3 linked regions of the Drosophila melanogaster genome follow. The protein of the gene in region 2 purifies or fractionates together with the protein of the main gene of each other region. This does not show direct contact. Each region holds a gene or a part of one and is shown on either strand. Other genes may lie near its edges.

The links. The genes of interacting proteins can lie anywhere in the genome.
Region 1: the proteins of CG4860 (region 2) and CG11839 purify together in Drosophila melanogaster (affinity purification with mass spectrometry, with the first as the bait; one large-scale study listed by BioGRID). This does not show direct contact.
Region 3: the proteins of CG4860 (region 2) and Sps1 purify together in Drosophila melanogaster (affinity purification with mass spectrometry, with the first as the bait; one large-scale study listed by BioGRID). This does not show direct contact.

The regions. Positions count from the first base shown.
Region 1 is NT_033777.3:25,068,164-25,072,124, reverse strand, and holds CG11839 (uncharacterized protein), read right to left. Parts: upstream 2,199-3,961; 5' UTR 2,161-2,198; coding exon 2,075-2,160; intron 1,923-2,074; coding exon 1,244-1,922; 3' UTR 1,211-1,243; downstream 1-1,210. Other genes in the region: CG11836 (uncharacterized protein), read right to left, coding at 1-386, 449-707; Stt3B (catalytic subunit 3B of the oligosaccharyltransferase complex), read left to right, coding at 2,571-3,961.
Region 2 is NT_033777.3:12,218,539-12,223,737, forward strand, and holds CG4860 (uncharacterized protein), read right to left. Parts: upstream 2,927-5,199; 5' UTR 2,913-2,926; coding exon 2,879-2,912; exon of another isoform or gene 2,818-2,878; coding exon 2,578-2,817; exon of another isoform or gene 2,501-2,577; intron 2,448-2,500; coding exon 1,474-2,447; 3' UTR 1,343-1,473; downstream 1-1,342. Other genes in the region: Cog1 (component of oligomeric golgi complex 1), read right to left, coding at 1-125, 194-876, 933-1,066; Rsbp15 (radial spoke binding protein 15), read left to right, coding at 3,945-4,128, 4,196-4,674, 4,735-4,815, 4,903-5,199.
Region 3 is NT_033778.4:14,267,562-14,272,171, reverse strand, and holds Sps1 (selenophosphate synthetase 1), read left to right. Parts: upstream 1-1,513; 5' UTR 1,514-2,009; coding exon 2,010-3,206; 3' UTR 3,207-3,400; downstream 3,401-4,610. Other genes in the region: conv (convoluted), read right to left, coding at 1-384, 444-613, 674-834, 902-1,002.

The DNA of each region.
Region 1 (3,961 bases), about 13 Mb from region 2:
TGCGGGGTCGTAATTATAGCGCGGTAGGCAGATTGGCTTTATAATTTTAGAAAACGATATAGGCTTGCGAAGTCGCAACAGGGCAATGTCGTTGTTGTATGTATCGGGGTCAAAGCTCTTGTGCTTTATCACAGCCGTAACCGCACGTTGGATGGCCTGTGACTCCGAGGTGATCTCTTGATCGTGGTCGCCGAATATGACTCTGATTTTGGATTTTCGCAGTTTCTTCACGCAGTGAGCGGCCGATAGAACGTAATCCTTCGTCAGTAAGGATCCTCCGCAATGGAACTTGCCGTCGTACACGATTCGTGCCATCCAAGGATATTGATTAACACCCGTGGGCTTTCCCCCAACAATCCGGATTTCTTCGTTCGAAAAGCCACAATCTGCACGAGTGAAATTTATCACATTAATTTAAATATCAGCAACAAACAACACATGCACATACCACAGTCACAGTTTTTTAGGCTGGAATTTTCGGTATACTCGACCTCGTCTTCGGTATCCGAAAGTCCAAAGGCATTCGATACTCCCGAACTTATGCGAAAAATTGTGTCAAATAGAAATTTACTGGTTCGTTTATTGTGGCCCGTGTGAATTGTGTTAATAGCGTCCGACTCATTGAAACCTTTGGAATATTCCAAGCTTAAGACACTTGAATAGTTCGCCGTCAACATCCAAAAAAAGATTATATACTTTAGGCTCATGTTCACGAATTAGATATCATTGTAACAAATGGGGGGATATGTTTGTGTTTATGGGAAACTTGATCACATCAAACAAACAACGTAACGAGTTCAAAACATTCTTAAACACAACAAAACATTTGCACAACTAATACGTAATACTCAACACAACATTAACAAGGTTTCTGTAGATACGGCTTAAGAATAAATAAGAGTCTGTAACTAATTAATGTAACATAAAATATGTACTAAGTCTGATAGTAATGTAGCGTACGGATCGCTTAGCGCTAATACAAAATGTGAGAGTTAGTCGCAGTGTGGCCACGTACCACTTTCTACCTGTTGACCACTTTCATGGTCAAGATGTGTCAGCTGTTCCACCAGTTTTTTTCACTTTCAGTTTATAAAAATCTACGAAATTATATTTTCAAAATTTTCTAACACGCTTTTTTTTTTGAATTTTTTTGGCTTTGGAAAGACTTTTGAATGGAATAATGCGTTAATTAAAAGACGTTTGTTGTTTTATAACAGTAACATTTTAATACCATATTTATTCTCTAGCTATGCAGATTTTTCGTTCTCCAGTCGAACAAATCATCCACACTGCAATCTTCTTCGCTTGAACTCAATTCCGGATCGACCTCCATCTTGGGGTCTACTCTTCGCTTTTTACTAAGGAGTACTTTTTTCTGATCGTTAATTTTAATAAATCTCTTCCAGTTGTCGATCTGCTCGTCGATCTCCTTGATGTGTCGCTTGAGATTGATGTCCTCCTGCTCGTCGGCCACAATTTCACTGGATTCCGTGTCCGCCCGCTTGATCTCCTGCTGGAATCGCTGCCATTCCTCGTCCTGAAGGCGAGCGGCCTCCGATTTATTGGTCTTATCCTCGTCGAAGAACTTTTCTGGCAGTTTCTCGACAGTAGTTTCATTCTCAGGCTTGCTGCTCGCATTTCCCTGGGCAGTTTTCTCTTGAATGAGGGGAGGATGCTTTTCCTGGCTGCTCTGTGGAGTTTTATCTGGCAGTGTGCTGGAGTTTTTGGCAGGAGCTGAAGTCTTGGTGGACGGACCCGTAGGATCCTTGGGTGCAGTAGTGGTGACGGGTTTCTCCACCTTATTCTGCTTAGCCTGATCGACGTTCAGTTTGTGCTGCTTGGAATTTATATGCACCTTCCAGACGTTGGGTTTGATAGGAATCCTGCAAATAATGCAGGTCAAGATGCCCGAGGAGTCATACGTATAGTTAAGTTCAGTTAAGGAAACCAACTAGCTGGATATTTATTCGAAATTAAAAGTTATATTAGAAAACAACATGTTTTAGTAAACACCGGCTAGAAAGTGTAAACAACAATAGAATTTCAGTGGGTTTTTTGCTTTTGTAAAGGATATTTTGCCAATGGTGAATCCACAGTGACTGCTGGCTTTTTCGAAACGCTGAGTTTCTTTTGAAGGCGTTTTATATTCCCATTATTCATGTTGATTTTCAATATTCTTAGGTTTTTCAGCGGCTTCTGTCAATCATAGGAATTAAACTAGAGATGAGCGCAACGGCGATTATTTTGAACAAGACACAGAACAAATGGAATGGAGAGTTTGCTTATTTTTTTATGCTATGCAAATAAATGGAACAAAAAGTTATTCCAAAAAATTGTTTAGATGTATTTTAAATTATTTTGGAATACAACGAAAACGAGGCAAGTACAAATTTAAAAGCATTCAAAGTTACGTTGCCCTGGTCTTGTTATCGATTGCACTATCGATAGCGTATCTAAAACCGAGTTGGCAGTCTACCCGGCAATTTTTTTAGACTACGTGTCTAAGCGAAGAATGTGTCGTTGCATTTCAGATCGGTTATAATTTTCGAGTTACTGGCTGGAATTGGGACATGAATCGGACGCCGAAGATGCTGAACAGCAAGGTGGCTGGCTACAGCAGCCTAATCACCTTCGCCATCCTGCTAATCGCCTGGCTGGCCGGATTTTCCTCTCGCCTCTTCGCCGTCATCCGTTTCGAGTCGATTATCCATGAGTTTGATCCGTGGTTCAACTACCGGGCCACCGCCTACATGGTGCAGAATGGTTGGTACAACTTCCTCAACTGGTTCGACGAGCGCGCATGGTATCCGCTCGGCAGGATTGTGGGCGGTACCGTCTATCCCGGCCTGATGATTACGTCCGGCGGAATCCATTGGCTGCTGCACGTACTCAACATACCGGTCCATATTCGTGACATCTGCGTGTTCCTGGCGCCGATCTTCAGTGGCCTGACCTCCATCTCCACCTACCTGCTGACCAAGGAGCTGTGGTCCGCGGGCGCCGGCCTCTTCGCCGCCAGCTTCATCGCCATCGTGCCTGGCTACATCAGTAGGTCGGTGGCTGGATCGTACGATAACGAGGGCATTGCCATATTCGCCCTGCAGTTCACCTACTTCCTGTGGGTGCGCTCAGTGAAGACTGGATCCGTGTTCTGGTCGGCCGCAGCCGCTTTGTCCTACTTCTACATGGTGTCCGCCTGGGGTGGCTACGTGTTCATCATCAACCTGATACCCCTGCACGTCTTCGTACTGCTCATTATGGGCAGGTACTCGCCGCGTCTGCTGACCAGCTACAGCACCTTCTACATCCTGGGACTGCTGTTCTCCATGCAGATCCCCTTCGTGGGATTCCAACCGATACGCACCAGTGAACACATGGCTGCGCTGGGAGTGTTTGTGCTCCTTATGGCCGTGGCCACCTTGCGCCATTTGCAGTCCGTGCTGTCGCGCAACGAGTTCCGGAAGCTGTTCATCGTCGGCGGATTGCTGGTGGGCGTTGGCGTCTTTGTGGCCGTCGTGGTGCTCACCATGCTGGGCGTTGTGGCCCCGTGGAGTGGACGCTTCTACTCGCTGTGGGATACTGGCTACGCCAAGATCCACATTCCCATCATTGCATCCGTGTCGGAGCATCAGCCCACCACTTGGTTCTCGTTCTTCTTTGATCTGCACATCCTGGTGTGCGCCTTCCCAGTGGGAGTGTGGTACTGCATCAAGCAGATCAACGACGAGCGCGTTTTCGTGGTGCTGTACGCCATCAGTGCGGTTTACTTCGCTGGTGTGATGGTGCGTTTGATGTTGACCCTCACGCCGGTGGTGTGCATGCTGGCCGGAGTGGCCTTTTCGGGACTGTTGGATGTGTTCCTGCAAGAGGATTCGTCTAAGCGAATGGGCACAGCCATAAGCGCAGCCACCGAAGTGGATGAAGCTGAGGATTCCATTGAGAAGAAGACGCTGTACGACAA
Region 2 (5,199 bases):
AAAACCAGCGATGATTTCGGGTAAAAGATGAACCAGCTGGCGCTCGCTACTCTCCATTCGGTTGATGCTGGGTGGACACGTAGAAGAGGCACACTCCTCCAAGCGGCTAAAAAGAAGGCTATAACCTGTACGAGAGAAAAGACCGATTGTTCCAATAATAATGTTGTGTGCCTATCTGCGAATGGAAACATACCCAAAAGACACTTGTCCAGAAGCTCCACGGTGCTGTTGAGCACGTTTAAGCTAGCCAAAATGCGATCCTTGACGCGACGTGGCTCCGATGGACCGCTTTGCAGGCAGTTCAGAAAGGCTGAGGAGCGCAGGTTCAAGAAGGATTTCAGCACAGTACTCAAATCGCTTTTGTCTAGCAAGAGAAGGCTCTGCAGGCAGTCCACAGTCATTTCTTGTAGGAGTTCCTCCCTCTCCAGTGCGGTCAGTATGGCTTGTTTGATGGTCACGTGAAAGGGACGCAGGATTTCCCATTGCTTGCGCGCTACCGGTAGTTTCTGCATCAGGGCACTCTGGCCGTCCAGTTGCAAGCCCGTGCTGATGTGGCGACTGAAGATGAACAACTCAGTAGCGGCATAGAAGCGATCGTTGTCCAAGTGCGTCCAGATTAGTTCCGGCAGGGCAGTAAGCAACTTAATCTGAGCCATGGTGCCGTAGTAGGTCTGCAGCTTTTTTCCGGCGTTCCTCTCCTTCAGTGCGGCATCTTTAGCACTTGCATTGGCAGTTGACTGGAAGCCCAGGAGCTGCTGCTCGTTTAGACTGCGGCAATTGGCCTGCACGTGTCGCACTTGCTCCATAAGTGTCCCGGCCGACGTTTGCATCGCAGCAATGGTGTCAGCCGCCTGCAAAAGATCTCGGTACCGCTCCCTTAAAGATTTAGAATGTTTAAGCAGCAAATCTTCTGAAGGTGCCACATCACTCACCCGACATGAGTGCGCAACTCCTCGCGCTTGTTCTCCACCACCGACTGGATCTTTTTGTGCACCTCGTCTATCTCGGACACGCTGTGCTGCTCAAACAGCGTGTCCACGTTCAGGTTTAACAAATTGGCCGTCATTTAGCCGTCAAATTAGTTTTATTTAAATTAAGAAAACAATAACAAGGGAGCAGCTGTAATAAAATCGAATTATGTATCGATGACTGGCAACATCGATATTTTCTCTCATGACTGTCTATGACTGTTAAATTTATGTTAGTTTACATTTCTCTGTTGGTAAAAATGTTAGATATGCTGTCATGTGCAAGCCGTTACATTTCAATATAACATAAAGAGTTATAGTTAGGGGAATTACCTCATTTAATCGAAAAAAGATATTTTTCTAAATCCAGGTTTCATTTGTTTAAATATACTTTATTAAATGCATTTGTCTGGCATAGATAAACTAATTTACATACACAACAAGTGTAAAAGCAAGAATTCTGATTGGTTTGGCAGCAGTAATAAAGAAAAACCAACAATGGCTTTCACTCCTTTCCCAATTCCCGCAGCACTGCGTTGGCGATCACAATTCTTTGGATCTCCGAGGTTCCCTCGTAAATCTCTGTGACGCGGGCGTTGCGGTAGTAAAGCTCCGCAGGCAGATCGGTGGTGTACCCCATCCCACCCAGGATCTGGATGCACTGGTGGGCACAAAAGGTGGCGGACTCGGAGGCATGCAGCTTGGCCATGGCCGCCTCCTTTGTGATTGGCAGCCCATTATCCTTCAGCCAAGCGGCACGCCACGTTAGCAGCCTTGAGATCTCCACCCGCGTGGCCATGTCGGCCAGCTTCTGCTGGATGAGCTGCAACCGTGCCAGATGCTTTCCGAAGGCCACCCTCTTCTGCGAATAATCCACGGCTAGTTCCAGGGCAGCTTGTGCGATACCGGTGGCCTGGGCGGCTATACCGATCCTGCCACAGTCCAAGGACTGCATGGCGATCTTGAAGCCATCACCGGCAGCTCCAAGGACCCGGGATCGCGGCACGTGAACGTCCTCCAGCACCAGCTGGCAAGTCGAAGTCGCGCGCATGCCCATTTTGCTTTCCTTCTTGGCTATGGAGAGTCCTGGAACATCCTTGGGCGTAAGAAAGGCAGTGATTCCCTTGTGTTTCATGCTCTTGTCCACCGTGGCAAAGACGATACCCCCGCTGGCCTCCTTGGAGTTTGATATCCACGCTTTAGTGCCGTTTATTTGGTAGCTGTCCCCTTGCAGCTTGGCCGTGGTGCTGGCAGCTCCTGCATCCGATCCGTTTCCAGGTTCCGATAGTGCATAGAAGGCGATGTGCTCACCCTGGGTGTACGGCACCAGGAAATCCTGCTTCTGCTGCTCGGTTCCATGCTGCTGCACTGCACCCAGGTACAGGTTATTCACGCCCATCACAATGGACACGGCGGCGTCACCACGAGCCACCTCCTCCATGCCAATCGCGTAGGCCTGGTAATCCAATCCGGAACCACCTGAAAAATCAATATTTAATGAATGGAATCTAGTAGTATGATCTATTTATATACCATTTCAAAAATGAAAACATCACATATTTTATGTTATGTAAATATTGTAAATATTATAATTGAAATAGGAACTCACCATACTCCTCTCGAACCGTCACTGACATGAGACCGAGTTCTCCCAACCGTCGGACCTGTTCCGCCGGATAAAGCTCCTCCCGGTCGTGGTGTCGCGCTTTGGGGGCCAGTTCCGCATTGGCGAACTCCCGGCAAGTCTTCTGGAGAATCTGGTGGGTCTCGGAGAGGGCGGCCAGGCATGCGATTCCCCGGTTTCCACCAGCGATTATCCTCGCACTCCATGCGCCGCTCGAGCGTTGACCTGCAAAGACGGAGGCGGCAAATCGATCATCCAGTCAGCCGGGAATCACCCAGTTCCTCACCCAACGTCCGCGCCACTCTGATCAGCTGCTGCATTCCGTCGCCAACTGATCCCAAGCCCGTGGTGCCGGTTGCGATCGAGGTAGTGAAAGCTTTTTCGCACTCGTCGACGAGCCGATCGAAATACAACCGAGGAAAACAGCTTTTATACGCAGCTTTTTGAGGCGAAGTTCATGGGAGGAGATTGAAAGGGGGTCCCGTTTATTAAAAACTACTAATCGATTTTGTAAAATGGTTCTTTTAAATTGATTTTAATTGAGTATAAGAATTACTAAAATCATTTTAGTTGTTTCAAATTTGTAATTTATAATCGGTTTTTAACAAATTTTAAAGTTTCATTTAAAAATGGTATTGATAAGCGCCGAAGTCACCACTGCGCCACTGTGTTCGTATAAAGTGTTTCAACTATATAGTACTACCTAAAATGATCGAAAGTATTTTGTTTTGGCGCTAACTTTGTGAAATTACCAAGTTTCTGGGTTAAAGATCATTTGAAAGAACAGAAAGGGAAAGCGGTTCAATGGATTTCGATAAAGAAGAATCCACCAAGAACCCTGTTGATTTCCTATACCGGCTGAATACGAAATTAGGCAATGCTAATTTCCGATACACACCCACTTTCATTGAAAGGTACAAGGTGCATTTTACCCACATGAAACACAAGTACACATTACAATTTTTCAACTTACATATTACAAAGTTAGTGGACTTTGGGAATTTTCAGGAACACGTGTGAGACAGTTTTTTGAAACATTTAAGCTCATGGATCAAATTGAGAATATATAACCCATTATTGTTTTTCACCATTTAAACATTTAAACCAGCTTTTTGCTAGCGCCATCTAGGTTAAGTAAACAGAACTGAGCACCTTACATCAGCAAGGTATTTCGCAGTCAGTCCGTGTAAAAATCATTGTAGAGCGCTGTAAATTATTATTTTCATTTGCTCTTAACGTAGTAGACCGGTTAAAAGGGATTTCAAAACTGAACCATTTCCGAATTATTATCTTCTTCTCAGCTAAACTGTTCAAAATTATAGAATTTTGCTTTATACTTTTGAAAAACGAAGATGAATTACTTGATCCAGCGTGGCAAGATGCGCCAGCAGGCGATTAATGTTCCAGAGGGTCTGCCGGAACTTCTATCAGATGTTACACGGGAGGTGCTAAGGTGTCAGCCGAAGAAAGAGTGCCTCTGCCAGTTCATCATCGACTATCTACATTCGGTGATCGTGACAAGGGAAAAGGCTATGGGTAAGTACTCCCACAGGATGTAGAAAGTATCAAACTTTTCTTTACGCACGCCTGTATTTTCTTACAGTGGCCAAGACCATTTTGGATCGCTCTCTGCGCCAGGTGGACAGCATAATATCGGACCTCTGTGTCTGTGATCTCTCCAAGGAGAAGTCCGAGTTGATGGGCCAGGTTCTAGAGGACTGTTTCCGTAACTTCCTCGAGAAACGACGCTGCGAGATGCGGCGTGGCAAGCAGGCGATTAAGTTCGAGGATGTGGACATCCTAGAGGAGCTGCTGCAGAAGTGCAAGTTTACCGACGAGGAGCTGGTCATGTCACGGCCGGCCATCGAGAGTGCCTACAAGCGCTTCGTGGACGCCTATATGTCCGCCGAACGTGGAGCCGATGGAACGGAGCTACTCTACCAGTACTTCCGGGACAGGGAACTGAAGCGTATCAACGAGGCCATGCGCAACCAGGCAGCCATCACGATCCAGGCGGCTTGGCGAGGATACTGGGTTCGCCTCCAGTTCCCGCAAGAAGTTTGCGTTTGTGTCTGCGCAGCGGTAAGTGAATCTACTTCTAAAAGTCTGCCCCTAAACTTGGTTATGACTTAAATCCAACAGGAAAAAGAGGACGACGGGGAGGAAAAGCGCAGGGAACAGGCAGCGAGCGTTCTTCAGAGATTCTTCCGCAAGGTTATGTTGGTATGTAACAAGAGTTAAAAACTATTTTACATTATATATATTTATATTTTAAACTGTTTTTCTTAATTTTTTACGCCAAATTTGCAGCGCGTGGTTACCAAGCCAATCGTAGACCCCTGTGCCGAACCAACGGAACCAACTGAAGTGGATGCTAGCTCTTCACCGGATACAGCAAAGGATGGCTATGACGACGTAAATCTCTCGACAGTACCGACAACTGCTGCGATAACAGCCGGACCAACACCATTACCAACTGCTCCCGGAACTGTGCCGCCATCTGCCCCAGGCACTGCTCCGGCCACGGCCAGAACTTCGGCCACTGCTATAGCAGAGCCAGAAGCTCATGAAGAGGCTGCGGAAGCTCAGCCAGCGGAGGAAGCTCCT
Region 3 (4,610 bases), on a different chromosome or scaffold from region 2:
CAACACAGAGTTTCTGGCAAAAGTTCCGCGACTAAGTTCGCTTAGGGCATTATGAGAAACGTTGCACCATCCCAGCTTTGTCAGATCAGCTATGTGCTGTGCCTCCAGCTTTTTGATCTGGTTGTGACTTATATCCAAGACCTCCAACTCTCTTAGATTCTTAAATTGGTTTCGTTTCAGATTCTCCAATTGATTTCCATGCAAGTCGAGCGTTTTTAGTTTCCGCAATGGCTGGAAAGTCTCAATAGGCAGATCACTTAGGTTACCATTGGTCACACGTATGATTCCCAGACTATTGGCGATCTCTTGGCCAGCAAATAGATCCTTGGGTAGCTGTTGGAACGCATGGCCATCGATTACGAGTTCCTTAGCTTTTCCTAGAATCTGAAAAAAGAATTTCCCGTTTAGATAACGATGGTATCGGTATATTGTTTAATTCTTACGCCGAATCCTAGTAAACCAACGTGGCTTAGATTTGTGCGAAGTAAATGCAGTTGCTCCAAAGTATTATTTACTCCATAGAAAACATAATCCTCAATGGTGGCCAATGGTGTTTCTTCTATGATCAGCATTCGTGCTTTGATATGAGCAAATAGTGGCCCATATAGACGAACTAGAAAGAGAATTTGATTCTTCAGCTTAACAGACTAAAAGGACGTGTAGAAGTACACACCGAAATGTCCTCTGTAGATGGTCAACTCCTCGATGGGCATACCAAAAGAGGCCAAATTCTGAAGGGCTACGGATAAGGTAGCCAAGTTTGTATTTTCGCACCGAATGTAGAGGCCATTATCGCTGCCCTTCACACATTCGCAGGGGTACAAGGCCTTTGATCTGATTTGAAAAAAAAACACCATATAAGTGAAGAAATATGTAATATACAATATTTGGAATAACTCACTTTTTTGGACACTTGAATTCGGGTTCGCCATACACATATTCCGAACTGGCTAGGGCAATGAAGTGCAGCAAAACGAGAGTGCGCAGGCGTAGCTGAATCATGTTTTAATGATTTCGTCACCGTTTTAATTTAGTTTATCCCATGGCCCAAAACCAAGTTCGCTGCTCAAGTCTTTTGTGTGGGCTTCGATTTCCTGAAACTTATAGTTCTTTGTTTAACGATGTTCCGCTTGAATGAGGTGGGTTTTTTTTTGGGATGTGGAGTAAAGTTAACTTGTCTTATCAACGAACAAAGGTAAATGGTTTCTTCTACTTTTACTTTTCGCTCTGCTGGCGCAACAGGTTTTCATGGGCCGCTCTTGTGCGCTCTTTGTGACCAGCACTTTGGAGCTCTAATTGAATTAATGCCAACTATATTAACTGCTCCCGAAAGTCAGAGCACTGTGAACCACAGTTTCCACTTCGGTTCCCCCATTTATTCCGCGGTTTTAACATATTTTTATTTATTTTACCCTTGGCGCACAATACAATCGATAGATTTCGGGCGAGTTGGCAGCCCCGTTGAACCATCGCTTCAGACAATCGGCATCCCAAATATCGAATCAGCCGCACACGCTAATACAACCCTGTTGTGACATCTCGCTCGTTGGAAAAGCAAAAACCAGGCGCAAAATAAATATAATTTGCTAACGTTACTCTACAATTATCTTTGTACAATCGCACAAGCAAACGTAAGTACCAAAAGACAAACGAACGCAACGAACCAAATGGCCAATTCAAAGCGCGCACTTTTTGGCATTTTGCAATTGAAATGAGTGGGCATTGTTCACGTTGCTCGCCTCGTCGACAGGGAGAAATACTGACTTCGCCCGTTTTAGCCGCCATCGCGACTGCAGCCAATCACGGGCCGCGCTACACACACGCGGCAGAAAATCCGTGTACATACACGTCTGAGCGCTGTGGTATTGGTGGCCGGGGAGAACGCGAGTTACTCGCTGCATAGAGTAGCCCACTATGTGTTTATTGCGCGGCAAAAGTGCGTTAATCGGTTAAAGCCGCTACTTACATTCTGTTCTTTGCATCTCCCCCATCCACAGCTATAAAGCAAGATGAGCTACGCCGCTGATGTGCTGAACTCGGCCCATTTGGAGCTCCATGGTGGTGGCGACGCCGAGTTGCGTCGTCCATTCGATCCCACGGCCCATGATTTGGATGCATCCTTCCGCCTTACACGCTTCGCAGATCTAAAGGGGCGCGGCTGCAAAGTGCCGCAGGATGTGCTCTCCAAGCTGGTGTCCGCCCTGCAGCAGGACTACTCTGCCCAGGACCAGGAACCGCAGTTTCTCAACGTGGCCATTCCCCGCATCGGTATTGGCCTGGACTGCTCCGTCATTCCGCTGCGACACGGCGGACTCTGCCTGGTGCAGACCACCGATTTCTTTTACCCCATTGTCGATGATCCCTACATGATGGGCAAAATTGCGTGCGCCAATGTGCTCAGCGATTTGTATGCCATGGGAGTCACAGATTGCGATAACATGCTGATGCTGTTGGCGGTCAGTACCAAGATGACAGAGAAGGAGCGTGACGTGGTCATTCCGCTGATAATGCGAGGCTTTAAGGACTCCGCTTTGGAGGCAGGCACCACTGTGACTGGAGGCCAGAGCGTGGTCAATCCGTGGTGCACCATTGGTGGGGTTGCCTCGACCATTTGCCAGCCAAATGAGTATATTGTGCCAGATAATGCCGTGGTAGGGGATGTACTGGTGCTAACCAAGCCACTGGGCACCCAAGTGGCCGTGAATGCCCACCAGTGGATTGACCAGCCGGAGCGCTGGAACCGCATTAAGCTGGTGGTGTCCGAAGAAGATGTACGCAAGGCCTACCACCGGGCGATGAACTCTATGGCTCGCCTCAACCGCGTAGCCGCTCGCCTCATGCACAAGTACAATGCCCACGGAGCCACCGATATTACTGGATTCGGACTACTAGGCCACGCTCAAACCCTGGCTGCACATCAGAAAAAGGATGTCTCCTTTGTTATCCACAATCTGCCGGTGATCGCCAAGATGGCTGCAGTGGCCAAAGCCTGCGGCAACATGTTCCAGCTGCTGCAGGGCCACTCGGCGGAGACCTCGGGAGGATTACTGATCTGCCTGCCGCGAGAGCAGGCCGCTGCTTATTGCAAGGACATCGAGAAGCAGGAGGGCTACCAGGCCTGGATCATCGGCATCGTTGAGAAGGGCAATAAGACCGCACGCATCATCGACAAGCCCCGCGTCATTGAGGTGCCCGCCAAGGACTAGGTCTCCATTGCCTGACCATCTGCTATTGTCTACCTTAAGTATCTTAATATTAACGTAACGGCTGCTACATTCAGTTGTAACCGGCATGATCGGTCTTTGTTTTTTATAAAAAAGCTTATCAACTACAGATTCACTGATCATTATAATCTTGGACGTCTCTACTGCAATACGAGTGAATAAAATGAAAACACTTGAATCTTTTGTATCGAGTAATTGGAATGCGGGGCATCTGAATGAGCTTTTTCCAGTCAACTTTGTTATTAAATTACAGCTCACAGTTTGGCAAAAAGTGGAGCATCTTCGGAATCGCATACATTTTGAACAGTTGTGTGTTGAGAATTTAATCGACTTATTTAACCCACTAAATAAGTTGTAGAAGTCACATTTATTTTTGTTTAGTTAGTGCACCTGCGCTTTGAGGCTAAAAACTCAGCTGGTGTAAATTTTAAATTTGCTTGCTGATTTTAGTTTACAGTCGCATGCTTATGAAATCAGCACGCGTTTTGAAAGTCAAATTGTTGGAGGTTTAAGTGAATTTTAATCGTTAAGCTTTGTTTCGCAGTTCAAACTTGGGAGCGGGTTATCAGGAAAGTAATTGTCAAGTACCAAGCCAGCAAAAAGAAGTGTCATGTATCTCATTTAGATACGTGTGCTGATAGTACCTTCAGATAGTTTAAAACATGTTTGAGTACAGGAATATTCTTACTAAAAATATGATCATTTTGAACTGAACTTCATTTGAAAATTAATTGGTTATGATAAGTTTGAGAGTGAATTTCGGAAACATGGACATTTAAAGAGACATTTAAAGGACGTTGATTTGTTGAGGAGAATTTAGCATGGGTTATCAGATACCCTAACCTCCTAACCTCTATTGTTCGATCAATCGGCATTAGTTGCGGAGAGCGAAAAGCTTTGCAAGCTCTAAAAACCAAAACCGAGCGAGAGATGCTCTCGTGCGAACAGGTCTCCGGCAAGTTGCCATCGGATGGGATCGGATCGCACTGGTGGGGATCGGGATCGCTGGTGGCAAGTGCGGATCGTGGGCCTCAGTACCGCCCGAGCTAGCGACGCGTTAAGATCCGCATCCGAATCGTAAACACAACGAGAAACTTACACTGCGCGCACCGTTACACTTTTGTGCTGGGAGCGATCGAACACTAATACACTGACCAACGAATTTCCCGCACAACGAAGAGATTTTCCCTCCCCAATTGAACTGTACTTGGACGTACGTTGCGTTTTTGGAGTTTTGGAAAAGTGCACAGTGAGTGCTGCAAGTATTTGTACATACAGAGCCACATAGCGATACAAACGTCGATAGATAGAAAGATACATATGTAGATAGTGTGTGGGCTGTTGGGGCTCTTTGCTGTTCGGTGTTTGGTGTTTGGAAGACGAGCT